Canis lupus familiaris: one gene and its partners. The protein of the gene in region 3 interacts with the protein of the main gene of each other region in a pairwise test. Links are inferred from orthologs where the notes say so. Each region holds a gene or a part of one and is shown on either strand. Other genes may lie near its edges.

Region 1 (7,557 bases), on a different chromosome or scaffold from region 3:
CTGACATAAAGTTCAAGAAAACACAATCTACGAGAAAAACACACACATGGTAGCAGGATCAAGCGGTACGTGGGCAGGAGTGGATCTCCCTACTCTGTCTCGCCTGAGGTGGCATCCGGGCGCAGCTCACCCACCTTTCTCTGTTATGTGAGCAGGTGAGGGCTGTCGGGGCTGAGGGACGAGGGTGTGCAGACAGGACGAGGGGAGGAAGGCTGTGTGGGTCACGTGGGGGGAAGGGGTCAGGAGGGACAGGAAGGCACACTTGCCAGCTTCCCAGTTCAGCCTGGGGCTGAGGCAGGACGGCCTCCCAGTCATAATGTCTGCAGAAATCCAGGCAGGGAGGACACCCCACTTCAGGGGGAGAGGCATGACCACTGGGATTTGGTGCCACTGGGCCAGGTCCCAGGGAGGTCCCTCTGGGATCCCTCAGCCCTGCCTCACTGAACAGACATTGGACCTCCTCTGGACGGCCGTGGGCAGGCCAACATCTGACCGGAGAAGCTGGTGTGTGGGATGGGATGCCTGGCAGTGGGGACAGGGCCTCAGCTGTGCGGGGAAGGCAGGCCTGCTATGTCTCCCCCCGTCTCTGACCGACACCCCCAGCTCCAGCCACCTCACTACTGCTCCCTGTCTGAAGGGTCTGTGTGCCTTACCCAGATTCCTGTTGCCCCCTCCACACCCCCAGGCCTACAGACATGTCCCCTCCCCATCCCCCAGTGTCTCTCTGAGCCCCAGCTGGACCCCTGCTCCCCACACCCCTGTGCAGCTACCCTGAGACTCTCGGGGCTTCCCTGGAATCCTCTGCTCCCCCTGGACCAGGCCTCATCTGTTCTTCTGAAGAGCCAGCACAGAGCTGGGTAGAGGAGCCCTGTTTATTCTCCAACCTCCCGAAGCACCCCAGGGAAGCCCAAGTTCACAGGGCAGGGACCCAGGAGACCCCTGTCTCAAAGTCCTCCAGTGATAGGACAGCACGGACTCTCTCCAGGTACATCCCCTGCCCCCACGAGGTCTTTCTCTGGCCCCTGTCAGCCTCACCACTGTCTCCAAACAGCAGCCACAGGCGTCCCTTGAGAGGACAAGTTCATCCCAGCTCTTGATGTCTGAAGCTGCCAAAGGCTCCCACCCCCAGCTGAAGACCCCAATCCCTCGGTGGCCTCCATGGCCTCCTCCTGGCTCCCCTCCCTGCCCCTGCCCTTCCTTCTGGCTGACATGCCAGCGGCAGCTCCGACTCTCCTGCCAGCACCTTCCCTCTGCTCGCCCCACAAGCAGTTCTTGGAGAATCCTCCCAGGAGTCCTGCACCATCCACTTGTCCAGCACCTGCTCTTCTGTCCACGCTCCTGTCACTGGGTCACTAGGTGGCGGTCTAGGTGTTCCACTCACCTCCAGGCCCCACCGCAGGCGGTCCAGGAAGGCTTCTCAGCACTTTGCCCCTGGGCTCCTGCCCCACTGCTCCTGCGCTCAGTGGCACGTCCAGGGGAGCCCCAACCCTGGTCCAGTTGTCACAGCCAGAGGGCCTCCCAGCCCAGCCGTAGGTACCCTTACAGCTCAGGGCCTGCCCAGCAGGGGCAGGCATGGGGAGGCGGCTACACTTTTGGTGTTGGAGCCACCCCAGGTTTTGCTGCAAGGGAACAGACAAGCTCTGCATATGTGTGTTCCTGGCTGAGCTTCAGGAGATGGGGATGGACACACACACACACACACACACACTCACTCTCTCTCACTCCTGCAGAAAGGAGCCTTGCTTCTCCACCCTGTGAACTTCCTGCTAGTTCCATGGCCGTTCCATGGAACTAGCACACAGCATGTGGGCACACGGCATGTGGGCACCCATTACCCTGCAACAGGTTTTCTGCAGGACAGGTCAAGTCTGATCCACGTTCCTGTTTTCAACACAACTGATCCATTCTCAAAATTCAGCGACTATAAGGCCTTTACTTGACCATCATGAAGAAATGCTACAATGCTCCCATGCTCTCACAAAGCATGCAGGCCTTTTGAAAGTGCCACCTGCCCTAAGACTACATTTTTTATGAGAAACACAAAGCAAGGCCACCCGGTGACCTCTGTTCCTATCTAAGCACATGCACAGAACACACGCTGTTTCCTACCCTTGTGTCATAGGTCTCTGGCCAAGCACTTCTGTGTCCAGGCCTCGGTCTGCCCTGTGCTGGATAAGGGCCCAGAGCTAACCCAGGCCAAGCTAACGCATCTTTAGCATCGGCTTCCAGCAAATTTACTGCTTTCTTGGTCTTCAGAGCCCAACACCAACCGGCTGCCCCTCAGTAGCCAGGCCAGTGTCAATACTGCGGGGAGGCGGCCTGTGGGCAGGATGGTCTCCAGGCCTCAGCAGCTCTGGAGAGCAGACCAACCTGGGGAAATGTGCTCTCTGGACGGCTACAGCTCTGTGAACACAGCGGGTACAGAGGTTGCCTGGGCCAGAGGGAGGCAGCAGCAGGCTTGCTGGCGCTCTGGGAAGGTGGCTCCTGGGCAGTCACTGGGCTGGCCAGCTCAAGGTCTGGGCAGTACCATCACTGCTAGGTCTGTGACAGCTAATGAGAACACCAGTGCCATAACTTACACACACACACACACACGCACGCACGCAGCGGCGGAACATGGAAGGAGCAGACTTTGGTCCTCCCACCTACCCGCTGTGCCACGGCCATGTCTGGCTGTATGGGGCCCCTTGGGCACCTACCCAGCACCCAAGCCAGCTCTGTGGCCCCTAAGGGTGCTCTGGGCACTGCTTACATGTACAACCAGAACACAGGTTGGAAAATAAGGCCTGCTGTGCCTTTACCTCCCTCATTTTGTTCTGTCTTTAGAAGCAGGAGCATCTCCCACTGGTGCTGAGGCTACACCAACTGCCAGGCAGGCTTGCACTGTCACTGTCACCGTCACACGAGGGGCATTCCCTGGCCGTGCAGGAACAGGAGGGACCCAAGTGCAGCTGCTGGTGTGTCAGACACATCCCTCCTCTGCCCTCACCCCAGGGCCACAGGTGTGACGTGACCTCAGAGATGCATCTCGAAATCCATGAAAGCATTCAAGTCCACGCTTAGGGCTCTGAGTTTGCAGACAAAGATCTAGAACTCCCCTAACTGGCAGCACAGGCAGAGAAGTCAGAGCAAGACCCCAAATCAGAATGGCTGAGCCCCAGCACACACCTTCATGCCTCTTACCCACACTTGATTAAAAACACAAAGTTGCCGGACTTCTTGATGTCTTACAGTATGTTCTCAGAGTGCCCGGATGGTACACAGTTGTCACGTCTCACAGGCTCTCATGTCACAGTAAGGCAGAAATCCCAATCTCCCCAGAGTAAAAACAAAACAAAACACCCCACCCTAACAATTCATTAAATTGCCCAGAAAATATCAATGTTTCTGTACTTCTTTGTCAATGGTTAGGAAGCCTTTTAAACATTTCCGGATTCCGTCCAAGGGTGGTGCAAACATGCGCTGTTTGGTTAGTATGAGAGGCAACCGGTGATGTACGGGAATGGAGCAGGCAACCAGCAGTCTCGTGGCTGCTCAGGCCCTAAGGACACTGAGGGGCAAGCTCGTTCCCACACGGCATTCCCATGCGCTCCCGGGCGCAGAAAGGCTGGCATTCCAGCCATGCCTCGCCCGGCCCCGGAGGTGTAGGTGTCACATTCGCTGCACCCTGCATGAAGCTAACCCCGGCAAGTCCAAAGCCACATGGGTCAGATGAATGGCAGCCACAAATCAGAGCTTCACACAGACCAACGGGGGAGAGAAACTGAGAGAGGAATGAGCAGCTGGGGAAGGGGCAGGAAGCCACTGGGTACGTACCTCCTAACGCAGAACAAGCAGGGACAGCCCGTCACAGAACAGAAAGGTGGGAGCCACAGGCAGAAGGAAAACAAGAAGGCACATTTAAACCACTCATCAAAAATCAGCCACACCAAACCAAGAGAAAGGCACGCAGGTTCTCGCAGTAAATGCACCTGCCTCTGGTACAGAAAACTGCTTGGGTCTATCTGGATGCTAAGTGAGCAGTTTTCTCGGACGCTCGTGCAGCCCGGGCGTTACTCTCCTGCCGTGGACACTGACAAGATGGCCTCGTTCGGACAGGGCAGGGCTCAAAGCAGCAGCCATCAAGTCTGGGGCGTGCGGCCGGCTACCGTGGGCGGACTCGGCCCAACAGCCCTTGCTTCTAGCGGTTCTGCCTTTGGTCGGGGGCCTTGGGGGCCGAGGGCTGGGGGCTCCGAGCGCGGGGCCCACCTGCTGGCCGCCACTCACCCAGCTTCAGGAGCCAGCCCTCACGGTCAGGGTTGAAGAACGTGTGTGTCAGGTCATTGCCATCATCCTCGGGGATCTTAAACGGCTCGTTCTTGATACTCTCGTATAAGTTCTGCGAGGAGCACGGGGACAATGGTCTCAGGGATGCAGCCGGGGGCCAGGGGTGGGGAGGGCCCAGTCAGCACTGTGTCCCCGAGGGCGCCAGGCTCAGCGGGACCAGGGCCACGAGGTGCCTGAAGGTTAAGGGGCGGCGGTGGCAGCTCCTGAGGGGCGAGGGCCAGTTCCGTGGAAGAGGGAAGCTCACCCGCAGCAGCTCCTCCGGGAGATCCCCTCCCTCATTGATGCCACGGTTCATGGTGACGAAGCGCTCAGCCGTGGGCTTGTCCCGCACATTGTGGTTGTGGAGGCTGGTGTTGAGCATGATGATGGCAAACGACAGCACATAGCAGGTGTCTGAAAGAGGACAGAGGGAGCCGGGGCGCTCAGCCGCCTGCCCGGCCAGAGGCACCCCCTCCACCCGGCAGAGGCGCACAGTGCTGGGGCCCAACCCTCACCGACCTGTGGACTGGAAAACGCCCGGGTTGCACAGGCAATAGCGGGACGCAAACGCCTCCATCATGCGGTCGATCTTCTGAGCCTCCCCCGGAAGTCGAAAGCTCCACAAGAACTGCCTGCGAAGACACCAACACCAGGGGATGATGGTGTCTCTCCCTCTAGAGGACCCCCAACCAGGGAATGCTCCAGGCAGCCCCTGGATGGCAGAGGGAGGCACTGGGGGCAGAGCCCCAGGACCCGCAGGAGCAACGTGGCGGCCGCCACTTGCTGCCCTCAACTGTCCACCCAGGGACAGCCGGCACCACCCGCAGGAGCACGTCGGGGACCCCTGGCTCCATCCAGAGACTGACCAGCTAAAAGAAAGGGAACCCTGGCTGCCATGACCACACCCCAGACTCGCCAGGCCTGTGTCTCTGTGTTGCAGAGTTGTCAGCACCTCCTTCAGCCCAGGCCAGCTGAGGCACCGAAGAGGACAAATGGCAGACAGCAAAGCCACCCCCAGCTCTGTGCAACTTGCGGAAGCCGTATGGGGACAAGGGCCAAGAGCAGGACAGAAACATGGTCAGTCACACACTTTGCAGCCACAGAGCAGGAAGTAGTCGCAATGGAGACTGCATGGCCCTGGCTTGGGGGACAGCCATCGGAGCCTCAGCTGGGACACCAGGAAGGAAACCGGATCCTCTTGGTGGTGCAGGAAGAGCAGAGTGTACAGGACGATGCCTCGAGTGGACATCCAGAGGGATGACCTGGCACCTCTACCATGGTGGCCGGCAAAACCTCAGGGCCACACAAGGGCCATCCTCTTGCATTCACCCCTATGACATGTAATGATGGCTGGCTTTGCCTGGACAAGGCAGGGACTAGAGGGCAGCCTCTGACAGCAGGCCGTCCACACGCTCCCCACCCACGCTGGGGCGTCCACGAGGCAGGCATCTGAGATCAGATGCCCCAGGAAGCAGACCCATGCCTAGGCCGCCCCAAGACTCTGCTGCAGCAGTGGGAAGAAAGTATGCACTGACTACTGAGTACCAACTGAGATGAGGGAGAAGCAAAGGAGTGGGGAACGGCACGCACACCCAGCGGTCCCACCAAGGCGAGCACAAGCTCGGTCCGTGAACGCCTACCCAGACCCTTGGGCAACACCCTCTCCTCTGGGGGTGAGCCCCGGCCTCCTGCTCCAGCACCTCCCCGCTAACAGCCGAGACTCTGACACTTACCTTAAGGCTTGGACAAGGTTCAGATCAGCAAACTCATGGAGTTCGACAAACGCCTGGAGAACTTTAATATTAAAGTCGTCCCTGGGAAAGAAAGCAAACACAGTCCAAGTCCACTGCACAGAATTTCTCAATCATCTCAAAAGAAAGATATTTCCTACATCCAGCAGGTGCTTGTGGTTTTCCATTTTGCCTAACTGGAAGTTAAGATGTATTGCATTGCAAGTTCGTTCTCAGACTTGAGGCTATTAACACCCCTATCTGCTTCCACTTTCCTTTCATCCTTTGCCCTAACACCTTCTAAAATATGACAGAAATGGTTTTCACATTTATTATTCTTATTACATACTGCCTATATCATGCCAGCAGAATATGGCTCGAGTGGATGAATCCATCTTTTCTTTTTTAACACCACAACCCATGTGCCTAAAACAGAGCCTGGCATGGACTCAGAACTTAGTATTTTTGTGGAACTCAAAACCTGCAGACACTCAGTACTTCTAGCAACAGGAACTGCCAGACTTCGTATTACACAAATGTCATAGTTCATCTCATGCACTTGCCACCAAACGATGGAGAATTCAGACTCTAGACCTCATGGCACAGACGATTAAATGAAGTGCTGCAACCCCTGGGCCACTGTTCAGGTTTTCTGTGGGTTTGTTTTTAGCAGCTTTGTCCGAACATAATTCACATCCCATGCAATTGTCCTATTTCAAGCATACTTTTCAATGGCTTTTAATATATTCACAGATGTGTACAACTGTTACCATTATCAATTTCTGAAGACTTTCATTACCCCAATCCCAAGCACTTTCATTTCACCTGTCTCAAGCACTTCACGTAAAGGGAGGAACACAACACATGGTCTTCTGCAACTGGCTTCTTCTATTATCTCCCTGTTTTCATCCACGTGGTAGCATGTACCAGCACTCTGTTTCTCCTTTTACCAATTAATATTCCATAGTATGGATGTACCACATCTTATTTATCCACCAGTTGAGGGACATCTAAGTTGATGGACATTTGAACTGCTTTCACTTTTTGGCTAACAAGAATAATGTGGCTACAAACATTGGTCCGGGTTCGTGCAGATGTATGTTTTTACTTATCTTGGGTGTATACCTAGGAGTAGAATTACTGGGTCACGTGGGGACATTAGTATTTTGAAGAGCTGCCAACTACTTCTCACAGCTACTGCATCGCTTATCCTACAAGCAGTGTGTAAGAGGTCTGATTTTTTCACATCCTTGGCACTGCTTATTATCTTTTTATTATGATTACAGACATCCCAGTGGGTGTGAAATGGCAGCTCACTATGGTTTTGATCTGTAGCTCCCTGATGGGGGCTAAGGATGCTGAACATCCTGTCGTGTGCTTATGGCCTTATCATATATTTACACATCTTCTTTGGAGAAATGTCCATTCAGATGTTTTTCATTTGTAATTGTCTTGTTACTGAGTTGTAAGAGTTCTTTATATATTCTAGATAGCAGTCCTTCTCAGACTTATACATGACTTG
Region 2 (7,557 bases), on a different chromosome or scaffold from region 3:
CTTGTGTGAAGGGGGCCCCGGAGAGCACCCCGGCCGGCACCCCCAGTCACGCCCTTTCACGAAAGTCCTCTGCAGAGCGCCAGGCGGCCCTGAGGGTGGCGGAGGGGCTGGGGTCACGGTGTCCGAGAGGACCGGCCGCCCTTCGCCTTCGCAGGCCCCGCCTGGCCCCGGGCGGCACGGGGGCGCCGGGATGGCCCGGGCCGGCCCCCCTCTGCCCGCACCAGCGCGTGGCCTGGACGGTGGCAGGAGCGGCCCCGAGAGTCCCTGAGAGAACGGCAGGAGGACGCCGCGTGTCGTGGCTCCCTTCACACCGCAAGGCAGGAGGCGTGAGGCCAGCCTGCACACGGGCCTTGGCGGGAGGGAAGGACACGAGGCGGCCGTGCCCCGCCCCCCCGGGCAGCGGCGGCCCCTTCCTGTCTGGCCCCCGCCCCAGCGCACCCACAGCGGTCCAGGTCAGGGCCAGTTTTGAGGCAGAAAAAGCTGAAGACCTAAGGTGATAAGACCTGCTCCTTCCTCTAAAACGAGGACTGTAGCTCTGGGGGAGGAGGAGGAACCGAGCAGGAAACCGTCCCGAGCCTCGGCTGGGACTGCCTGCCTCACAGTTTTGGTTACTGGGTATTTAAGCTCAAGGGAAAATGCTGACTTTGCGTCTTAAAGCCCGACAAGAAGGAACTCGGAAAGAGAAAGGACAGTGCGAGTGTCCAGCGGTTCTCCTCTGGCCTCGGCGCCCCCAGCGCGTGGAGCGGAGAGCCGGAGCGGCCTGCCCGCCTGTGCCCGCCTGTGCCCGCCGTGCCCGCGCCTCTCCCGCGGCCCGGCCGGCCCTCCAGCTGCTGGGAAGGCGGCTCCCGCCAGCGGCCCGGGGGCGGGTGGGGGGACCCCAGCGGCTGCCCAGAGAGCCCCCACCCCGGACCAGGCAGGATGCCTCTGAACGGCTCTACTTTATCTTTTTCTCTCTTTAAAAAACAAAAATATATCTTTATAGTACGTGGCTTCTCTTCCATTCCACTTCTTTCTTAACATAGAGTAATAATATATCGATACATGTATTTATGGTGCAGGGTTGAAGGCTTCTTCACAGGGAAATAACCAAGAGGTAAACAGTCGGCTTCGGGCTCTGCTATCAGACCTGCTGAGCGAGAGACTTGCAGGAAGGAGGCTGATGTGCTGACAGGGGCTCTGATCTTTTTAGAGAGAGAGGCTCGCCTGACGGGCGTCAGATCCCTCTCCCCGGTGCTAACTGCCTACCCTTCTCCCACTTAAAAATGAATAGCAAAGCTGAAGCCAGTCTCTAGGAATTCAGGGTGACGCCCAGCAGGTGACAGCCCTGCTCGGCAGCCCGCCCCCCGTCCATGGGGGGGACGGAGAAGGAACCCAGGGCCTCTCACGCCTTGCACGCTGGCACCGCTCGCTGTGCAGACTCAGTGTCTTTTCGTGGAGGAGACCTTCTTCTTCCGCGCCGCTAGCATCTCGTAGAAAGGGTCCCTGCTGATGGCTGCTCTGGACACAGAGGAGAGAACAAACAGGCTGAGGAACAGGCCCGGAGGGCTTGCACCCCCACCCCCCTCGACTGTCACTGCAAAGGCCAAGTCAGTGGCGCCAACGGTCACCGTGTCCTCACAATGACTTAAGGGACAAGCTCTGGAAGAGACACATGGTCCGTGTGCCAAGACAGTTCTGCACTATTTACTGCCTGTTTCTACCTAACCATGGGGTGGGTTTACGAACAGAGTGTTACAGACTCTAATATTCCGGCCCAGAAAGACAAACGTGGGACCTCAGTTCTACGTGACTGCGAGCGCCACACGATCCGTGGCCCGTGGTGGTCTGGCACGTGCTGCTCAATGGCCGCCCCACTCTGGACTACACAGCTTCTGAGTCCCGCACACACCGACCGACTCGATAACCAAGACCACAGGTGGGCAGTCCGCAGTGTCACGGGGCCCTTAGGGGGCGGCCGGCCAGGCTCGGCGGGGAGGGAGCCTGCGTGTGCCCGGGCACTGCCCCAGAGACCCCAGCGCAGGACGGTGACAGCAAGGCCACCCTGGTGCACTCGTCAATCCCAACTGTCCAGCACGTTGTGCCGCGGGTGCTCAAGGGCTTTTCCAGAGCTGCTACACTCTAAGTGCCCACGAGTCTCCACGCTTGCCCACGAGCCCAGCTGCCCACTGGCTCTGCACCCGACCAGGTAGACGACAGGGGTCTGTTCACCAGAGATGACGCGTCCCCAAGTGCATCTGCACAGCTCCTTGGGGCAGCAAGAATCCACAGTCCCTGGCATGTGTCCCAAGGGGACCTTGTCACAAAGGCCTCAGTTGAGTGTCAAGAGCCAGGGGCGCCGAAGCCGACGGCTGCCTGGCGGTCAGGAGTGCGGCTTCTTGAGTCACAGGCTCAGGTCTGAAGACCAGCACCATCTCTGTGGCTCTGGACAATTTTATTCACTGTGTTGTGCCTCAGTGTCCTCACCTGTAAAATGGGGACGACCGTGCTTCCCCAGCTGCGGCGAAGAGTGAGGAGACGGTACCCGGAGGGCATGTGCACGGTGTGCGAATCCTGCACCACCGGCCAGGTGGTGCTGGGGCCCAGCCAGGAACTGAGCTTCCCAGGGAGGGCCTGTGTGTGCCCTCCCACCCTCACTAAAGGACGGAACGATTCCAAACGTGTCTATAAAGAGGGCTCAGCGTTTCTGGGCGTAGGAGTACAGGCCACGGAACAGAGTAGGAGCGGCTGTGCACTGCCAGTGGGCCGCTCCAGTGATCACACAACGGGGCACACGGGACACAGAGGGTAACCCATGCACACACAAGAGCTTGAGGCAACTGCAGAGCGTGCTTCAATGAAAATGAAATGATAAAACAATTACTATCTCCACTGCGCTGCCATCCTGACCACGAGGCCGAGGAGCCCTCTGGGAAGCCTAGACTCGAGCTGCTGTCTTGGCCAAGCACCCAAGGACCCACTGACAGACAGTCTGGGACTCCAGTCAGACTCTCCCCTGAAGATCTAACCCAGGAGCCCAGGCGAGGGACGGGCGGCACGCTGGGCAGCAGACGTGTGCGAGGAGAGAGCCCTCGTCCGGTGAAAGCACCGCGACGCCTCAGATCACCTACTTGATGCACTTAATCCACTCCTCCTTCTCTTCGGGCGTCGGGGCCGAGATCCGGTACACGGTGTGGTTTCCTTCCACCACCCGCCCGTCAGCCTCCGTCTTGCAGGCCTTGATGACTTGGTCTTTGTTGTCAGGGATGTAAAGCTCAAAGCAGTTCTGAGAATCAGAAAAGAGAGGAAGACAAAGACCTGAGAAAGCTACTGATCAAGACCAAAAAATGTTTATTTCTCAAAAGACCCTTCGTTCTGACTCCCGTGAAACACAGGCAACGTGTGCTTTCCTACGGCGAAGAGGAGCCCAGCAGTGAACGCCGGAGAATGTCGGCTGCCTGCCCGTCAGCCCGGCTAGCGAAGACACCAGGCACACACGTCCGCTGCGCTCCCAACAGACCAGCAACGCGGCGAACAGCGGTAGGTACGCAGGTGCCTTCGAGAGCCCGGCCCGTAGCGCCGGCACATTCCAGGTACCGGGGGCGTCGGGAGGGCGCCCGGTTGTGGGCGCTTCCTGCTGCCTTTTAAGGAAGGACAATCCCACCGCTCGTGGACAGGCCACAGGGACGCAGAGGCAGGGGGGCAGAGGTCAGCCATAGCCTCGTCTCTGGCCCGAACGTGAAGGTGACTTTGAGTTGGGCTGAATCAGGGGCACGACGCTCCTTTTCAGTTTTAGGTAAATCTTTGCACTTTCAGCCTTGTTTTAAGAACTGCTACCTTCTCTTTTGGCCCCCCACCCCCACCCCTACCCCGTCCCCCAGGAGATACTCACTGGTTTTTTGGAGTCCTCCACCTCCCGGATACTCAGATTCTCTAAAGGTATAATTCCACGGGGCTCCTTATCCTGTAGAACAGTGGCAGACACAGAGACCTCACGCTGGGTCATGAGCTCGCGTGCCCCCACGTCCCTCACTCACAAGTTGCCGGGGCTCTGCTCTTCTCCCATAACCTCGGGCTCACAAATCAGCTCTGGGGCCCACACCCTACATTCTAAAATCAGGAACGGGCCAGGAAGCGTGTGGGTATAGGAGTCCCTGCGCCCGGCGGCCTCTGCGGGGTGAGTGCCCAGGGGAGGCTCAGCACGTGTCTGGGAAGAGCCCACGGGAGGCCCTCCAGCAGGGAGCACGCCAGCCTCTCACAGAAACCACGTGGCTCCTCCGCCCGGCTCCTGCACACACGCCTTCACCTTCTGTTCCAGTGTCGGCAACCCCAGAAAGCCCTGGTCTTGCTCTAGGTGCCCGGCTCGCTGCCTCGAACGCCGGAGACAGTTTAGTGCGTTTATGTACACTCACAACCCCCTGCCCTAGCTTTCCCCTCGCCAGACCGTAGGATCTTCAAAGAGAAACTGCCTCCCTGACGACTCCAGGTAGGTCTGCAAAGGCACCTCCAGGCCTGTCCAGAGCAGAGCCAGGACACCCCTGCCAGGCCCCTGCCCCCGGGGGCCCTCTCAACAAAGGCCACCACGCACATGCACTCCGCACCCGCCGGACAGCTAACGCCAACCTTCCCACTCCCTCTCCTGGGCATCCGGCCACCCCGCAGCCCACGACTTCACTCCAAGTTCACCACGGTAGCTGGACTAAGCCTTGGCACCAAGCTCCCTACGACAAATGCTCCTGAGACACTGTGCACTCCCCATTTGCAGATTCAGGTTCCTTTCCCTTTTGGGGGGATAATCTTGGAACAGATGGGATCTGTGTATGCGCGGGTGCCGACGCTCCAGCATTGGGGTCACCTTTCCTGTCCTCCTAACTGCTTACCTCTTCCCTGTCTTCACACTCATCTTTTCCAGACACAATCTGTGACTGTCTCCAATCTTTCTTCTGTAATGGTGATTTTATTCTCGGCTAGTCTGTTCCACTCCTTATAGTTTTTACCTAACTTCTAGATCTGTGATTACACAGATCACCTGTTCTTCAGCCTGCACCTTGCGGGGGGTGGGGGGTGGCCAGCTTGTGTTCTGGCCCCTTCCACAGTCACGACAGAACCGTGAGCAGAGGGCAGGCCCATCTGACACCTGCCGCGCTCCAGCTCTTCTCTGGCACCGCCGCTGTCCTGCTTGGGGGTGGCGACGCCGCTCACGGGCACACTCCCTGTGACAGAGCTCCCACTGAGCTCCCAGCCCAGGGCACACACCAACGTTGCAGGAAGTGAGGCCCATCTTCTCACTTTCCTATTTCACCAATTCCTACCCAGCTGCAGACTTTATTGCTCGCCGATCGGAAGAGGGAAGAAGCCCTACTGTTTGCTTCTCCTGGACTCAGGGCAAGGGGGAGGCAGCGGGGCTGTGTGGGGAAAGGTCCCTCCGCCCAGCCCCCAGGCCACTGCCTCTGCCCCTGCTCTTGGTCCCTGAGCTGTACTGAAGCAGCTGTCAGTCCTTCCCCTAGATTCCCTGTACCATGTTGGGTGATTCTGTGTGGACGTTCTCCCTACCACCTTAACTCTGAGGCCCCCCACCCCCGTGTCTGCAGAAACACACTCCCTGATGTCCTGTGGCCTCATGGAACGCCGGCCGGCACGCTGCTGGATGGAGTGTGGGATCAGGCAATGCCACCACAGTTGGCATCACGAGGAGCCACAGCATCCTGCAATCTCGCGGAGCCTGCTCCCGAACTCAGGGCATACTGCTTAGGTGTCTGTGTATGTTTCATTTTAACCCAAAGAATAGTGGGGAAAAACCCAAACAAGACTTTAAAGATACCACTAGTCTAGGTATCTTTGAGAAAAAAGGCCAGCTCTGGGCAGGGCCGGGGGGGTGTTGGGGAGGGGAGGGCAGAAAGGAATGTTCTGAGCTGTTCTCAGCGGTGCTCTGGGGGCGGGAACAACAGGAAACTAACTGGATGTCCTAACGTGTGGCCCTTGGGGGTGACGCCGCATCACAGGCTGATGCCCACTCCCCACAGAGCGTCACAGAGTACAGCCACCTCACCAGGCAGGTGCCAGGGTCCTGGCTCCTACTGAGGCTACATCCCTGACTTTCCTTCATCACTGAGGTCCTACCTTCTTCACTGTCCTGGCAGGATCCGTGACCTTTACTCAGTGAAGACCTGGTTGCAGAACCAGCACCAACTGCCCTGATTTATCTCAAGACACAAGTCCCACACTACCAAGAATGGAGGCGTGACAAGGGATCAAGAGACAGGTGGGCAGCCAGTCTGAGCCCGGCCAGCCAGGCTTTCTGGGCGCCACAGCAGAGGGAGCTTCGAAAAAGGTTTTATTTTCTCATTTTTATTCTCACAGGTTCTTATGAAAGAGACTTGCGTGTAACACAAAGCTGTGCTGTGATTCTGTTCCCACTGAAAACCAACAGAACCTCCACGGTTTGAGAAAACTTCAAACTCCAGTAACTCCCAACTTCCCTCATTTCATTTTACTTCTCTTCTATTCTTTCAACCCCCGGGGCTGCTTCTCCTGCATCCAGAAAATCGGAATTCTCCACATTGTGATTTTCATGCACCTTTCAAGGGCTATAAACCCTTTCTTGGCAACCGACCCAGGCTGGCTGTTCCCAGCCCGGCTCCAAACGCCGCCTCTAACACCCTGTGCCATGCAGGGCTTCCACCTCTGCCCACATCACCTGCAGGGCCCCCCGATTCTGGGACCTCCCCACCCCTGACTGGAGTCCGACAGAAACAGAGGCCTGGCCCCCCCTAGTCCCGCAGCAGACCCAGAGGCTCACCGTCGTATATTCAAAGTAGTAAAGGCAGTTGTCAGTGAGAATAAACCAGCGTCTTTTCCAAGTCTTGACCCTGCCACCTACGGAGCAAAAAGAGATGCGGGTCCGACAGGAGCCAAGCAGACGGGAGCAGGCTCCGTAACATGACCCCCCCCCCCTCAAAAAGCTCGAGGGCGGGGGAAGCGAGGGGCAGGGGTACCAGAACATTGAGACCATGGCAAAGTTTACATCAGTAACAAGACACAGAGCCAAAACAGAAGCACCTTTCACAGAGTGAAAGTCTGTGGGTACAAGCAGAGCAAGCAAGTCAGGTGGCACCTGGAGATGAACTCAGGAGAGTGGGATGAGAGCATGGCTGGGGAGGGAACCCGGGCGATGAGGACACGCGATGTAAATCTGATTGGGCTGGAGATGCGCCCATGGAAGCCCGTCGGTGTGGTGGAAATGGGCCAACAGAAGAAAGAGGGGGAAGAGGGGCTACACTGCTGGGGCACCCTGCCCGGGTACAGGAGGAGGGCTTCATCAGAGGGGGCAGGAGTGAGGAAAGGGGAACTACAATGTGTCAACCCTTCACAATCACATCTACGGCTTTCCTGGGGAGTGGAACCCAAATTCCTACCCCAACCTTCCTGATTATAGTGAAATTCTATACTGGCTTTCAGGCCCCGGGCCAGTGTCCTGCAAATGAAATTTCCCGAGTCCTGGGTGAGACAAGGGGGAGTCCCTGCACCAGGAGGAGCCCACGGTGCACAGAGGCAGCGCTCGGGAGCCTTTCCAAGCCTGGA
Region 3 (8,354 bases):
GCCCAATGTGGAACTTGATCCCGGGACTCCAGGATCATGCCCTTGGCCAAAGGCCGATGCCCAACCACTGAGCCACCCAGGAATCCCCACAGCCTGCTCTCTTAACCGTGCAGTACCACCCTCACTCCCTCAAAGCCTCCCACAGGATGTTGTTCATAATTAACTCCTCAATGGCCATGGTATTTCATGAACCATGATGCTGTGGTCAGGTCTCCCTGGTTGGATGATAAGAATACCAATGGTAGAGACCAAGACCCAGTCTCCTTCATGCCCCAGGGCCTATCCCAGTAAAGCACTCAGCTTAGGCGAGAGTTGTCAAAATGATTTTTTAATTAATAGATCTATTAATTAGTGGGAATTATTATTTTAGTGGAAATCTAATCCCTTTGCTCAGCCAGCTTTCTTTCTTTTTTTTTTTTCAGCCAGCTTTCTAATGTAAAATAAGAAGAGCTGATAGAGGATGATGGAAGACAAAAAGAAAAAATTCATCTCTAATTCTTCCAGTAAGCATTGGGGTTTGTTCACAATACACTGCTCCAGTCACTAATATTAAGATTTCCTTTGATCATGTGGAATATTTCCCTTGTGCACATCGTATCCCTTACCCTCCTAACAATCCCTTAGGTGTGTTCACTCTGTCTACACCCATTGCAACCACTGTAGTGAAAGGCACCTCTCTCTTGAACCATTGCAGAAACATCCCAACTGGGGTCCTGGCTTGCTTTCCTGCCCAGAGTGATGTTTTTTCAATGCACATTTGACTATTCCTCTCTTTCTTTAAATATCTACAATGGCCATTGAGATAAAGGCTAGTATCATGAAAATCTACAAGGAAGCTTCTGCCTGGCCACTGCGTCCTTTCCAGCCCCATCTTGGATCATTTCCATGTCTCTTTCTTTCTTGATTCATTGGCTTTCTTTTTAATTTTTTAAATATGTTTCATCAATCTTAGAGCTTTGTGCCTGTGCTTCAACAGCCCCCACTTAAGATGGTTTATAGCTACCATCTTATTCAGCCCTTAGACCAAATGTCATTTAGTCAAGAAAGTTTTCCTGAGTTCTTATGAGACATCAACTTCCTTTTGCATGCTCTCATAGCATGTTCATTGTCTTTTATTCATAGAAGTTCTCATAACTGTACTGAGTTATTATTGTTACAATTAGTTCTTTCATATCTGACTCCCCACTATAGTATAACTTACCTGAAGGCAGGCACTGTGTCTTGTTCACTTGTTTACTACTGTTTCCCCAATCTTTGTACACAGGATGATTCAATAGACATTTGTAGAGTAACCAAATTAAAAATACAAACTAGTAGGGCAGCCCCTGTGGCGCAGCGGTTTAGCGCCGCCTGCAGCCCAGGGCGTGATCTGGAGACCCTGGATCTAGTCCCACGTCAGGCTCTCTGCATGGAGCCTGCTTGTGTCTCTGCCTCTCTCTCCCTGAATCTCTTTCTTTATTTATGAATGAATAAATAAAATCTAAAAAAAAAAAAAAAAAAAAAAAAAAAAAAAAAAAAAACTAGTAAAAACACTAAACTATAGAGGAGTTTCCATAAACAAATCCTATGAATTCCAAAGTGTTTTGCTTAGGGGAATGGTGCTGTCAGGAATATCCCTCTAGAATTCACCTTCCCAATCTGCAGGATATGGAGACTGTTGATGTCAGATTTCTCTGAATCAAAGAAAAATGGGTAGAAACACAATCAGTGGTACAGCTGGGGAAGAATAAAGCAGAGGGTGGGGCATACCTAGGCACAGAGCCATTGTAGAGGCTATGTGTCAGTGTTTACTTAATAATTTTAGAGTTTCAGTACATTATTTCTTGAAGTAGTAAACATACATGAAATCAAAAGTTTCACCAAGAAGCTTCAAAGATAATTTGAGGCAGAATCATCAAAACAATTTAAACTCAAATGTTGCTTCTCCTCTTCCATAAAAAGCACAGACCCATAATCCAAAAGAATTAGGAAATGAAATGGTGGTCATGGATACTAATATAAATATGTTTGCTTATTGTTTAGACAAGGAGAACCAGCTCAGCTAACCATGGTACAGCATACTTGTTATCTATATATTGACAAGCTAAATATGTAGCACCAAGATTTTGATAAAAATATTTATAAAGCACACAATAAAAGCAGTTCATAAAAAAAATGATGCTGACAAAGGTGTTTTGAAAGTAATAATTTTGCCTTGTTCCCAACACTTCCTGAGTGTATCAGTTTAAGCAAGCTGCTCATAAGTAAAAAGAGTTCAAGGAAGAAGGAATAGTTATTTGATATCTCTTGATAAAGGATTTTTTTTATGGAGGATTTTTGTATAATACCCAGGAATTAAAAGTGTATAAGAACCTAATGATAAGGCAACAAATACCTTTCATGAGTCAAGAAGTTTCTAATTCTTTGCTTTCAACAAGATTTTTAAAAATTTATTTTAATTGTTATTTATTAAAAGTAGTTGCTGTGATAGATCACATGAGGTATTTGACATATAGTTGGAAGGGGTTCAAGAGTGCTTCATTCCCAACTATTTATTTATGTGTAAAACAGGTCTAAGGTCACATACATAAAAACCAAGAAAAGGATCAAAATTGGTGCTGAACTCTCTCTCATTCTAGCAATAAATAATATTCACCTATAAGCAATTCTATAATTAGGGGGAAAGCCTCATATATTTTATTAAATGATGCATTCTCAATAAAAATATGTACCTCTTGTATTAATCATTATTTTGTCAAAATATCATATTCATGTTATTTGTTAAATTATGTACTAATAATTATAGTGATAACCCACTCCAAATGAAATCTTATATGGCTTAAAGAATTTGTCATGCACAAAAATTAAATCAATTTCAGTTTAAATATGTATTTTTTGCTGAAATGTATAAAACCATCAATGAAAGATTTTAAAACATATATATAATTGCATAAAAATCCATGGAATAGTAGAATAAAAATATGAGTTCCCGGAGGGTGGAATGGGGTGGAGAAGAAAACAGCAATGTAAAATTAAAACTCCAAAGATGACTTTTTAAAAAATATATATGTGAGACATATCAGATCTCTGCTATTTATATCACACAGGTTATAGTTCTTTTAATATATATCAAAAGAAATATACATATTTTTAAATATAACCTTTTATAACAAGATTTATCATGTGCCAGAAATGACATCTTTTGCAACTATTGAAACATATAATAAAAACTAGGTGACAATGTAAGGTGTCAAGGAGTATATAGGGCTTCCAAATTACTTTCTGGGTACACAACCAAAATAACATGTTTCAAAACTACAACACACATAAGCATTAGGGTCAAACATTTCACCTTGCCACTCATTAAATGTGGAAACTTCTTAGAATCACTTAGTTTGCCTAAATAGACACCTCATATGTTAAACAGAAATAATAACAATAAGCTCAGAGATTTTGTGAGAATTAAATGAAATATCACATGAGAAACTTGCAGGACCCTATGCATACTCACCAAGTGGTAGCAATTATCTTGAATGGGAGTAATTACCTGGAAATGGCTTTGTTATAGAAAACAATTCTTCCTGATGGAATTAGCACACAACTAAAGGATGTGAGCAAGTATGATAACAGGTTTCATCAAATAAAATAGCTTTTACTCTTCAAGGTTGATTAAACTCCCTATCCTACTCTCCTAGAGACATTTTGGGTGCCTTGTTTCAGAGTTTAAGGGTTTCGGGGAATAGTTTTCTCAGTCCCATTTGAGACTATTAACTTCTTTAAAAAACAACTCCTTAACACAACACCATATGAGACTCAGCCAAAACAATGAGGTCATAAATACTTTAAGTTTGTGAAATGAAATAAAATGTATTCCTGATAAGCTCTGTAACTAAAAAGTGGAAAACACATTTCATTACCAAATGAATAATAAAGCTAATTTCAAGGAAGAAAAATTCCTTAATATATACTGATTGTTATGGATTGACTATGTGTGTTCTCCACTCCCCCTCCCAAAATTCGTAGGTTTTGATTTAATCCCCATGTAATGTGTTTGGAGGTGAGGCCTTTGGATGCTGATTAGGTCATGACAGTGGAGTTCTCATAAATGGGATTAAGGCCATTAAAGAGGCCAGAGAGCTAGCTCCCTCTCTTTCTACCACACCAAGAGACAAGAAGAATTGGCAATCTGCAAGTCAGAAGAGAGCTCTTACCAGAACCCGACCGTGATGGCACCATGATCTTGAACTCCCAGCCTCCAGAACAATGACAAATCAATTTGTGTTGTGGACAAGGCACCCAGTTATGGTATTTTGGCATAGAAGCCCAAGCTGATGAAGAATCATTTTTCTTCACTAGATGCTGGTGAAGAATCATTCTATTTTGTTTCAGGCACAAACAAAATATAAGTTTATTCTAGCAATATATTTCAAGAACTGTTTAGCAAATTAGTTAAGTTAGAAATAGGGATTCTGGTCTTATATCATTTTAAAACTGAAGAATAAACCAAGAATATCAACATGCAACCAACGCTCTATTGATAAAGAAGGCAGTTACTAGTATAATTGGTACTTTTTGTTAAAGAACGAAGAAAGAAATTCCTAAAGGCAGTTATTGGTTCAGCTGATCCAAAAGTAACTTGCCTCCCCTCTAGACCTTATAATCTTTGGAATAATACAGCAAAATAAGCACCATGGCCAGTTTTAAAGGTTTTTGAAAAGGAAATGATTCAGATGAGTACCGGGTGTTGTATGGAAGTGCTGAATCACTATACTATACACCTGAGACTAATATTACATTGTATGTTAACTACCTGAAATTTAAATAAAAACTTATTTTAGGGATCCCTGGGTGGCGCAGCAGTTTGGCGCCTGCCTTTGGCCCAGGGCGCCATCCTGGAGACCCGGGATCGAATCCCACATCGGGCTCCTGGTGCATGGAGCCTGCTTCTCCCTCTGCCTATGTCTCTGCCTCTCCCTCTCTCTCTCTCTCTCACTGTGTGCTTACCATAAATAAAATAAAAATTTAAAAAAACTTTTTTTTTAAAAAAAGACAATTTATTGTGCTTAAAAGATAGCTCAGGTAGAATAAACTATGGCCTAGGTTTGTTCTTTTTTCACAGAGCAAGACAATGCTGAACTAAAATTTTAAAAACCAACATATTAATTCATAATGTGCTCATCCTTTAAAATTACAAGCCTGGTATATGACAAAACATTCTCAGAGCAGCAAAGAAACTTATAGAAAGTCCATGAACATGGGCAAACAATGTGCATTATTCTTAATCCAAGAACTAGAGCTAAAGAGGAAATAGAAAATGCTGGTCACTCTAGAGGCAGAAGTCTCAGACACAGAAAGTATGTAATATGTGTGGCAATAAACTGTACACTTAACCAGCAATGAGAGCCGTAAGCAAGCATCTTCTGTTAAATGGTAGTCTGTGATAGCAGCACCATAGGAATCAAGAAAGGAAATCCATCTTTGTTCTTATATAAAAGCAAAGGACATGGAAAAAATCCATTAGTTTTGCAAGTTAGCAGGAGATCTCTTGTTAAGATAGAGCAGGAGAGAAGGAAACAAAATATAAGAGCCCCCTATGAGTACAAACACAGTGATGTATGGCATGGGGATGGTCTGGAGTTATTACTTGATCCAAGAAGTTGAAATTCATGAAAGGAAAAATGCCTTTATCCAAATTATTTCAAACATTTTTTCTTTTCTTTTCTCTTCTTTTTTTTTCTTTTTAAGATTTATCTATTCTAGGGTGGGGGAGCAGAAGGAGAGGAAGAAAGGAACTCAAGCAGACTCCACGCTCAGTGTGGAGCCCAACCTGGGGCTCAATCTCATGACCCTGAGATCACAACTAAGCTGAAACCAAGTCCCATGCTTAACGGACACCATGCAGGCATCTGCATTTTTCTGTTAAATTTAAGCTCTATTATCATCTGGATTCTGATCTATTTCCTGCATGCTTTAGAAAATCTTATTCTTTCTTTCCTTCCATTTATTTTCTCCTTTTTACTGTTAACTTTTCCACTCATTTTGCTACATTTCTGCTCTCTCTCCACTTTGAGAATGAACTGACAGATGGTTTTCAGAGCCACAGCTTTTTTTAAAACAGAAACTATGATGATTAAAATTACTTTATTTTCAACACCACTAAAATACTGTGATACATCATCTGAAGAGATTGGCAGACCTCTCCCTCACTTGTCCTTCTTGCATTCCCACAGAAGCTGTCAGTCCTGACAATCAAGACTTAGACAGAAAAATCTACAAATCTAAGCAAGGAAAGCTCCTCTTTCAGCCAATCATGTCAATCTCTGCTCCCAACAGACCATTTTACCATAGTAACAAGGAGGTGGCAAACCGCAAGACATCTTGAACAATCTGCCTCTTTTACCTCCTGGAAGAACCTGCACCAAATACAAGTGGCTGTTGACCATGCCCCTTCAGGAGGCATGAAACTCCTTTGTGTCCCTGGCCCTTCTGTGAGCTTCTAGAACCCAAAACTTCAAAGATTATGGTCTGCACCCCAACATGCCTTTAGGGCCCAAGTGAGTGGGCAGGGCTCTACCAATCTCCCAATGGGGCCTTGGCATGTCACCCTGTGTCCATTGCTCCCAAATGAGACACTTTCCCTTCCCTAGCTCATAGAACTGACTAGATGCTAGAAGAGACTCATCTCTGTGGGGCTGATTCTGTTCTCATGATTGTCTTAAATTCCATAATGTCAGCCTTGTAAGTGATTGCTCTCACAGGCCTTCCAGAATTAGGCTAGTATGCTAACTTTGACTATTCAAATTTTTTATATAGGCAAGGGTCCTGCAAAACATATTTGTACACACACACACACACACACACACACCGTAGCAATCTAATACAATGCAGGTTAAATCTACATGATTACCTGCCTCTTCTTCTAGGCCATTGACAGATCCCAAGAACTTCTAGGAGCCAGGAATTCTAAAAACACAGTCATTCTAGTTGTGTGTTTAGGCCCAATCTAAGGTATCTGTGATTAAAACCCAAGGAACCTCCTCAGAGGTTTGTACCAGCACCAAGATGCTACATCAAGTAGGGAAAGGGCCATGAGGCCTAAGATGAAGCCAAAGAAAACATTGGGAGCCCCTAGGCAAAATATCAATTACTAGGTCCACTATAGTCTGACCCAGGATCACACCCTGGTTCTCTACAATGGCAGCCCCAAAGTAATGACACCTGATTATTTCACCCCAGTTTGTGAGGGTGAGCACAGATGCAGTGCTCTAAGATGAACCAGACAAGAATGGCAAGAGATGGCCCTTACCTTTCAACAAATTGCACCCCTAAATTTCTCTATTATTCTTTATTCTACAAGAATAATGATCATATTTTCTCTCCATGAAAGATAGCATCTTTCTCTGCTTGTAAAATCCAGACTCTATGTGCACTGTCCCGAGGCAGCCAGTCACCCTATTCAGCTCTCCCGAATGACCTTCCACTTAACACTTTCCACCAGTTACCTACTGCTAGGTAGCAGTGGTCTCTACCATAGGACCATTGCTGGCTGTAAAAAAAAAAAGCCAGGAAAACAAAAACAACAACAAAAAACTAGTACACAAGCTGCCTGCTGTTTGCACCTATTGCTGTGGAGTTGAGCCAAAAGTCCTCTTTTGTCTGGCTAACTCTTTCACTGAGAAATATCACTTTCACATGCCTTATGATTTTGCAACAGTAGTGCCCCAGGCCTTGTCAGACAGGAGAGGTAGAGACCGTAAGGAACTAAACTGCTATGCATAATCATGGGAAGGCTTCTTTATTAAGAATAGGATGACTAGTGTGACATTACCAAGACGGTGACAGAAATTGTTTCTTATTTTGTTCCTCCTCACAAAAAGGACAAGTAGCATCTATTCAAGAACAGGATACCACTGAGAGAATCCTAGAGCACAAGGGTGAGGCCAAAGAAGCACTGTAAGCCTCCAAGATCAAAACAATGCCTTAGAAGGATAAGAGAAGTGGCTACATATTGACTGCATTGCCCTCCCCCAGAACGGGCAGCATTATGTGTAGAGGTCTCCTTTGAGCCTCCAGGTCTTCCAGTGGCAAAAAAGAACCACCAGGGGGACAACCAGTCTCCGCCGGCATTGTGAGTCACTTCATAGGGAGCCTCTACTCTAATATTGCACCACAAGGATTACAGAGAAATTTGTAAGGCCCAGCCACCAAAAACCTGTAATGGAGAAAAGGGGAGGGCCTTACAAGAACCAGCACAAAGATCTTGGCAGACCAAGTTCATGCCTGCAGTGCCCAAGCAGTAATCCCAACCAGCGGTTTTGTTCATCTATAGAACCAAGTTGGGGCTGCATTATGACAGGGAACTCATGGGGGGAGGT
Region 4 (6,926 bases), about 64 Mb from region 3:
AGCTCGAGTGTGGTAGGGAACATGGACCATGACATGCCCAAAGGAGGGTTGACCAGTGCCACTTCACAGAGATCCCAGGGCTGTGGACCTTCATGGGGGAGCTTCGTAAAGTTAGGGCTTTCTCGAGGAGAGGATGTTCAGGTCCGGTTTGAAGGACGAGTCAGTGTCCACCTGGTGCAGAGAGATGTTTGTTTACTAGGTCATTCATTTCACACATTCTCTGTGGCCTCCCTCGAGCTTGCCCGTGTACTAGGCAGGGCTGGAGACCCAGGACAAGAGCTGGCCCTACCTTGCCTTTGATGAGCCCTTAGACATGGCTGCCACACTCCAGAGTTAGGTGTAGCTCTCCTGGCCCAGGGTGAGCCAAGAAGGCCCCATCCATCCTGAGGCTTGGCCCTCACAGCCCGTGACATGCTGCTGCCTACTAACAGTGTCTCACGGTATTCTTGAAGCCCAAAGCAGTTGTAGTTTGTCACACATTCAGCAAACTCACTGGGCTCCTATTCCTTGTGGGACTCTGCCCTTGCTGCTGGACTAACCAGGCAAAGGCAGAGGGAACAGTAGGTGTGAAGGCTCTGAGGCGGAAGGGATGGTATTTAGGGACCGCTGTGAAGCCCCAAAACAAGACTTGACCCAGTTCTGTCCAGGCTGGGGGTGGATGCTGAGGTCCTTGGGGAGGCGGTGGGGCGTGGCTTTCTGGCTGTTGAGGCTGAGACCTGGTCCCCACCCACCAGGGGATCCAGTTCTTGGTGGAGAATGAGCTTCTGCAGAACACACCCGAAGAAATCGCCCGCTTTCTGTACAAGGGTGAGGGCCTGAACAAGACCGCCATCGGGGACTACCTGGGGGAGAGGTGAGACCCTGCCCAGCTCCCTGTCATCCCCTGTGCCCAGCTCCTTTTTTTTTTTTTTTTTTTTTTTTAAGATTTTATTTATTCACGAGAGCCACAGAAAGAGAGGCTGAGACACAGGTAGAGGGAGGAAAAGCAGGTTCCATGCAAGGAGCCCGATGTGGGACTTGATCCCAGAAATCTGGGATCACGCCCTGAGCCAAAGGTAGGAAGCACCCACTGAGCCAGCCAGGCGTCCCTGCCCAACTCCTGCCCTTAGGCCACCAGCTTTCTCTCCTGAGAGAGGCCCTAATAGACCTGCCCTCTGGCTGGATTGTGACAGGGGAGTGATGGAGGGGTCAGTGGAAGCCTGGGGCTGTCTGTGCTCATCTTGGGGGCATGGGAATCTCCGGCGGATGCCTGAAAAGTTGAGGACCATCCATTTATGTCTGGGGACAGTGGAGAACATCTGTGAGTCTTGTGGGAGCATGAGAATTGTGTAGACAACTGATGTGCATTGGAGTTACGTGGACAGCTAGAGAGCATGGGCACCTGTGGACACCTGGGGTACGAGGTCTGTGGATATGGGTGCCTAGGGATTTGTGGACATCTGGGCTGATATGAACATCTGAGGGACACAGGACCGTCTGGATGTCTGGGTTGCTTAGGAATTGTGTGGACATCAGGGAATGTATAGAACTTTCTGGACACCTGGCAAGTATAAGGACTATCAGATGGTTGGGATTATGGGGATTGTATGGATATCCAGAGATGTTTGGGGGCCCTCTGGACATCTGGGGCATATGGGGATTGTTTCAGGAGCATCTGGGATGCATGGGGACAGCCTGGCAGGTGTGGGGACCATTTCTGGACATCTGCAGAACCCGGGGACCATCAGAGAGGTGATAGTAGGTGGGACACATCTGCTGTATTCCTCTTAACTACAAAGGTTCAGCTAAACCAGGGATGATCTTGCAGCAGATGGTCTTCCCAAGAGCGTGTTCTGAGCATTCCTGTCCTGGAGCCAGGCCTGTGCTGGGGCCAGGCTAACATCTCGCCTGCTCCAGTGGCAGCCACTATGCAGAAGCGGTGGCCGAGACTCCCCAGTGTTTGCTTCCTGTCCACTCCCACTCCAGCCTCCTTCCTGTGCATGACTCTGTCTCTGTCCTCCCAGGGAAGAGCTGAACTTGGCAGTGCTCCATGCCTTTGTGGATCTGCATGAGTTTACTGACCTCAATCTGGTGCAGGCCCTCAGGTGAGAGGGATAGGGTTAAAGGGCAGGAATGTACCTGTCAGGGCTTTCTTTACAGATGATGAAACCCTACTCAGGAAAAAAAAAAAATTAGGGAATCGAGCTTTTCATGTAAGGTAAAAGTCCACAGTAGGGCCTCCTTCAGGCACACCTGTATCCAGGTGCTCAAATGGTGTCTGAAGGTCGATTTTTCTCTATCTTTGGGTTGTCCTTGCCACTGTGTTGGCATTGCTCTCTGTAGACCCTCTTCTCACATGGCAACAGAAGCCCTTGGTGACCACCAGACCTTTCTAGCAACCTTAGCAGAAAGAAAGGCTTTTTTTCCTGTATAAATCCCTCAAAAGGCTTACAGCCAGTACTCATGGGGCAGCTTGGATCCATACCTGAGACAGCTGCTGAGGCCACAAGGCTGTTACTGCTTCCTGACACGGGGAACGAGAGCGGGGAGAGGTTTCTGCCAGTCCTGGCACCCACACCCGGCTCCCCCTCTAACCCAGGCAATTTCTCTGGAGCTTTCGCCTCCCCGGAGAGGCCCAGAAGATTGACCGGATGATGGAAGCCTTTGCCCAGCGATACTGCCTGTGCAACCCTGGGGTCTTCCAGTCCACAGGTGGGCGACCCAGACTTCTGGGGTCTGGGCAGGCGGGCCGGGGGGCCCACTGACCTGTGTCGTCACCACCTGACTGTCTGGTGCAGACACGTGCTACGTGCTGTCCTTCGCCGTGATCATGCTGAACACCAGCCTTCACAATCCCAACGTCCGGGACAAGCCGGGCCTGGAGCGCTTCGTGGCCATGAACCGGGGCATCAACGAGGGTGGGGACCTGCCAGAGGAGCTGCTCAGGGTCAGGCACCACCCCCTTCCCCTTCCCTGCCACCCCCCAGTGCCATCCCTCTTCCTACCCTGGGTGGGCCCTCCTCCATGTTGGGCCTCCTGGTGCCTGAGCTGTCCGGGGTGATCATGCCAACCTGTCCGTTTCCTTTTCCCTTCCTCCCTCCCAGGCCAACCTCAGTCTCCATCTCTCTGTCTTTTCTGTCTCTTGAGCTTTGCAGACTGCTGCAGCTCTGCCTCTTTTCTTTGTCTTCTCTCTCTGCTCCCCAGGCCTCCTTCCACCCATCTGCCTCCTCCCCTCCTCTTCCCCGGGCCACTCCACCAGTGGTCCCACCGCCTCCCCCCTCCTCCATGGCCAGGTAGCCCTGGGAGGGTCCCTGGGGCCTGGTGTTGCTGACTGCACCTTCGCCCCTCAGAACCTCTATGACAGCATCCGAAATGAACCCTTCAAGATTCCCGAGGATGACGGCAATGACCTGACCCACACCTTCTTCAACCCGGATCGGGAGGGCTGGCTCCTTAAGCTGGGTACGTCCCCTCCTGAACCTGCTGGCTGCCTCTGCAGGGGGACTTTAGGGGGCCCAGGCTCAGGACCTGGCTTTCATGCGCATTTGCTATGTGATCTTAGGCCCATGATTTGACCTCTCTGAGCTTTGTTTCCAAATCCTCAAAATGGGCCTGAAAACAAGATGAGGCCTGTGTGCTGGGCCCCAGCACAGGCATAGAGGAGGGGCCCCATAAATATGTGTGGCTATAAGGTAGGCATTGGAGAGCACCGAATAAATGCCAGGCTCTGCTTATTGAATGTAAAGTTCCCAACAGGGCTGGAATGCGTGGGATGGGGCCCATCCCCCAGGAAACACGGGGTGCCAGCCAATTCAGGATACATTGTTAGCAGGGGGGGTGTCAAGCAGGTGCCCCTTTCCATGGGGTTACCTGAGGATTGGAGTTGTGCCCACTTGTGGCTTCATGGGAGATTCACCTGGGAACTCTTAAAAGCCCAGCGGCCAAGCCGCAGACTCAAAGCCAGGATTTCTGGGGCAGGATGGGTGCCAATCATGTTGAAAGCCCTCTAGCTGCCTTCCAGGGCAGAGCCAAGGTTGCGAGCAGCTGGCTGGGAGCCATGCCTGGGGATGGTGGGTACCAGGGGAGTGCTAGCTGTGGCTCTTTAGTGAAGAGGTAGCGGATGGCTGCTCCGGAGACACAGGGAAGCTGAGGAGGAATAACAGCCAGGAGCAGACAGTGGAGGCTGCTGGAGCAGCGGGAGGGCCCAGTGCAGGGATTGGAGGGGCGGGGCAGGCAGGGCTGTGTTCCCTGCACCGTGGAATTTTGCTCTTGAGCCAAGACCTGGCTTCCCCAGCAGCAAGCAGGGCCCTGACTGGGTGCATAGATGTCCTGGTAAAAGTGTAAACTGCTCTTTCTAGCCCACAGCGAGTGGCCAGATTCCTGCATCAGCCCCAGGGGTGGGGGCCAGATGAGTCCAGAGTCAGATTTCTCTGGAGGCCAGGAGGTGCCCCTAGCCAAGAGGGTGGGAAAGAGGAACTCTGGCAGGGCAGCTTCCCAGGAGCTAATTCCCCTGTAGACCTTTCCCACCCACAGGAATGCTTCCCATTTCCCAGATGAGGACTTTAAGGCTTGGTCACTGTCCAGCAGCTACAGGGCAGGGGTGGCTTGGGGCCCAGATCTCTGACCAGAGTGTAGCACATGTTGAACTGGATCAAAGGAGGGGGGGGGGCTGTGTTCACCAAGATGCTTAATGAAAGCCGTTCTTAACTGTTACTGTCTAGTCCCTTGGGGACCACAAGGAACCTAGAGGCAGGTCGTCTTGAGGTGGGAAGGTATGGGTGCAAGTGGGTCTGGAGACTGGAGCCCAGAGAGGGCAAGAGGTGGCCCTGAGGTCACACAGCCAGTTTGTCCTGGAGCTCACATGGGTCCCCACAGCCACCTCAGGCCAAGCACCGGGGGTTTTGTCCTCTTCCCTTTGGGATGACCTTCTGGGGGTGAGATCTCTTCCCTCTGGCAGTGGAGGGCCTTCCCAGCCGGCTGAGGACCTGTCCCGGGGGTGGGGAGGCACCAAGCAGCGACACCAGGAGGTGTTGGGGGGGCTCAGGATCTTCAGCCTCCCCAGGAGGGAGAGGGTCATGTCGATGTAACTCGTTTTCTTCCTTCTCTTCCCCCCTCCCCTTCCCTCTCTCCTTCCCTGCGTCTTCCTCTCTGCCCTCTCTCTTTCCCACCCCCCTGTGCTTTCTTTCCCTGGCCCGCCCTCTTTCTGTTGCCTGCGGCTTTGGGGGGCACCCCATTCTCTGCCTTCCCCTCTCCTCGCCTGGTCCTGCCTGCTTTCTCGCTGTCTGCCCCAGGAGGTAGGTACGCTGCCGACCTGACCTGACACCGACCTGACACGGGAGGGGCTGCCAGGGGCTGCCATGGCCCTGGGCCATAGGAGGGGGCTGGGCACTCGGGACTCGGACTCCCAGGCTCTGGGCAGACAGGCAGGCTTAGAAAGTGCGGAGCCCCACGTTGGGGGTGGGCGGGATCCTGGGGGGGGGGGGCCTGAAGGCCTGTCCCTGCTTGTCTCTCTTCCCCCGCATTTCTTCATCCCAGGCCCTGCCAGCCCCGCCTTCCCTGCGCTCACTCTGCCTCTCAGTCCCCTCCCTGCCTCCCGGAGGCCCTGTCCCCCCTGTTGAGCCCAGGCCCCCTCCCACCCCTTCCCTTTCAGGGGGCCGGGTGAAGACGTGGAAGCGGCGCTGGTTTATCCTCACTGACAACTGCCTCTACTATTTCGAGTACACTACGGTGAGGGCAGAGCTGGGCTTCTCTCTGGGGTGCTGGGAGGAGGGGCTGGGGGTCAGGCTCTGGGGTCTGAGGGAGGAGGGCTATACCAGTCCACTAGCGCTGCTGTGACAAAGTACCACAACCAGTGACTTGAACCACAGGCACTGCTGGGGTTGGGGAGGAGGAGCTGAGCAAGGACTGGAAAGTCTGAGTCTTGTCCACCTTGTTCCTTCAGGACAAGGAACCCCGAGGAATTATCCCCCTGGAGAATCTGAGCATCCGAGAAGTGGATGACCCCCGAAAACCGGTAAGACCCTCTCTGTGCCCCTTCCTGCCATGGTGGCACCTCCTCTGGGCCCAGGGCCAGCTCTGACCTGCCATCGCTCTGTTCTCATGTCTCCCCAGAATTGCTTTGAGCTTTATATCCCCAACAACAAGGGGCAGCTCATCAAAGCCTGTAAAACAGAGGCCGACGGCCGGGTGGTTGAAGGGAACCACATGGTGTACCGGATCTCGGCCCCGACACAGGAGGAGAAGGAGGAGTGGATCAAGTCGATCCAGTGAGCCTGGGCTCCGGGGTCCTTGGGTGGGAGCAGAGGGCGTGGGGAGCTGGGCTCCTTGGCCCTCACCCTGGACCCTCCCCTTCTGCAGGGCAGCTGTGAGTGTGGACCCCTTCTATGAGATGCTGGCGGCAAGGAAGAAACGGATTTCTGTCAAGAAGAAGCAGGAGCAGCCCTGACCCCCGCCCCCAACCCCATTATTTATTACGGAGCTGCCCCACCCGGGTGGCCGGACCCCTGGGCCCTGGGGCTGCGGATCCTGGTTCTCTGTTTGGAAAATTCACCACCTCTAGCTCCTCTCTCGTTATTTGTAATTAACACACTGTTGGTAATCTTATTAATTATTTAACCACTCGCAGCCTTGGACCCCTCCTTTCTTGGGGTCGGCAGGGCTGAGGGGCTTGGGCTAGCCAGCCAGGTGGCCCATGCATGCCAGGGGCCAGGAGCTCCAGTCTTTGCTGGGAGCTCTTATGGTACGTGAGGAACATGCTGTCAGAGGGTGCAGCCACGGGGGCGGGGAGCGGGTCAGCTCCCATATCTGTCCCTTCTGGTTTTACCCTGAGCTTGCAGGCCAGGGTAAGGGAGGGAGGAGTATAATGTGGCATCAGTGGGTGTGGAGTTAGGATGGCGTGGCATTGAGCATGCAGGTGGGCACAGGTTCTGGGATGAGGCCCAGCATTT

What was found. The genes of interacting proteins can lie anywhere in the genome.
Region 1: the proteins of IPCEF1 (region 3) and CYTH3 interact in binary tests that used the Homo sapiens proteins (3 or more experiments, as listed by UniProt). The link is inferred for Canis lupus familiaris from reciprocal best matches to the Homo sapiens genes IPCEF1 and CYTH3.
Region 2: the proteins of IPCEF1 (region 3) and CYTH1 interact in binary tests that used the Homo sapiens proteins (3 or more experiments, as listed by UniProt). The link is inferred for Canis lupus familiaris from reciprocal best matches to the Homo sapiens genes IPCEF1 and CYTH1.
Region 4: the proteins of IPCEF1 (region 3) and CYTH2 interact in binary tests that used the Homo sapiens proteins (3 or more experiments, as listed by UniProt). The link is inferred for Canis lupus familiaris from reciprocal best matches to the Homo sapiens genes IPCEF1 and CYTH2.

The regions. Positions count from the first base shown.
Region 1 is NC_049227.1:11,642,004-11,649,560, forward strand, and holds part of CYTH3 (cytohesin-3), read right to left. Parts: intron 6,120-7,557; coding exon 6,039-6,119; intron 4,938-6,038; coding exon 4,825-4,937; intron 4,720-4,824; coding exon 4,571-4,719; intron 4,379-4,570; coding exon 4,267-4,378; coding exon of another isoform or gene 4,266-4,266; intron 1-4,265. UniProt on the Homo sapiens protein: Promotes guanine-nucleotide exchange on ARF1 and ARF6. Promotes the activation of ARF factors through replacement of GDP with GTP. Plays a role in the epithelial polarization.
Region 2 is NC_049230.1:3,549,241-3,556,797, reverse strand, and holds part of CYTH1 (cytohesin-1), read right to left. Parts: intron 6,855-7,557; coding exon of another isoform or gene 6,853-6,854; coding exon 6,776-6,852; intron 3,941-6,775; coding exon 3,869-3,940; intron 3,263-3,868; coding exon 3,108-3,262; intron 1,498-3,107; coding exon 1,419-1,497; 3' UTR 1-1,418. UniProt on the Homo sapiens protein: Promotes guanine-nucleotide exchange on ARF1, ARF5 and ARF6. Promotes the activation of ARF factors through replacement of GDP with GTP.
Region 3 is NC_049222.1:44,639,167-44,647,520, forward strand, and holds the start of IPCEF1 (interactor protein for cytohesin exchange factors 1), read right to left. Parts: upstream 4,355-8,354; 5' UTR 4,354-4,354; coding exon 4,191-4,353; intron 504-4,190; exon of another isoform or gene 423-503; intron 1-422. UniProt on the Homo sapiens protein: Enhances the promotion of guanine-nucleotide exchange by PSCD2 on ARF6 in a concentration-dependent manner.
Region 4 is NC_049222.1:108,468,514-108,475,439, reverse strand, and holds the end of CYTH2 (cytohesin-2), read left to right. Parts: intron 1-734; coding exon 735-853; intron 854-2,003; coding exon 2,004-2,084; intron 2,085-2,578; coding exon 2,579-2,691; intron 2,692-2,777; coding exon 2,778-2,926; intron 2,927-3,329; coding exon 3,330-3,442; intron 3,443-5,627; coding exon 5,628-5,706; intron 5,707-5,920; coding exon 5,921-5,992; intron 5,993-6,090; coding exon 6,091-6,245; intron 6,246-6,336; coding exon 6,337-6,424; 3' UTR 6,425-6,603; downstream 6,604-6,926. UniProt on the Homo sapiens protein: Acts as a guanine-nucleotide exchange factor (GEF). Promotes guanine-nucleotide exchange on ARF1, ARF3 and ARF6. Activates ARF factors through replacement of GDP with GTP.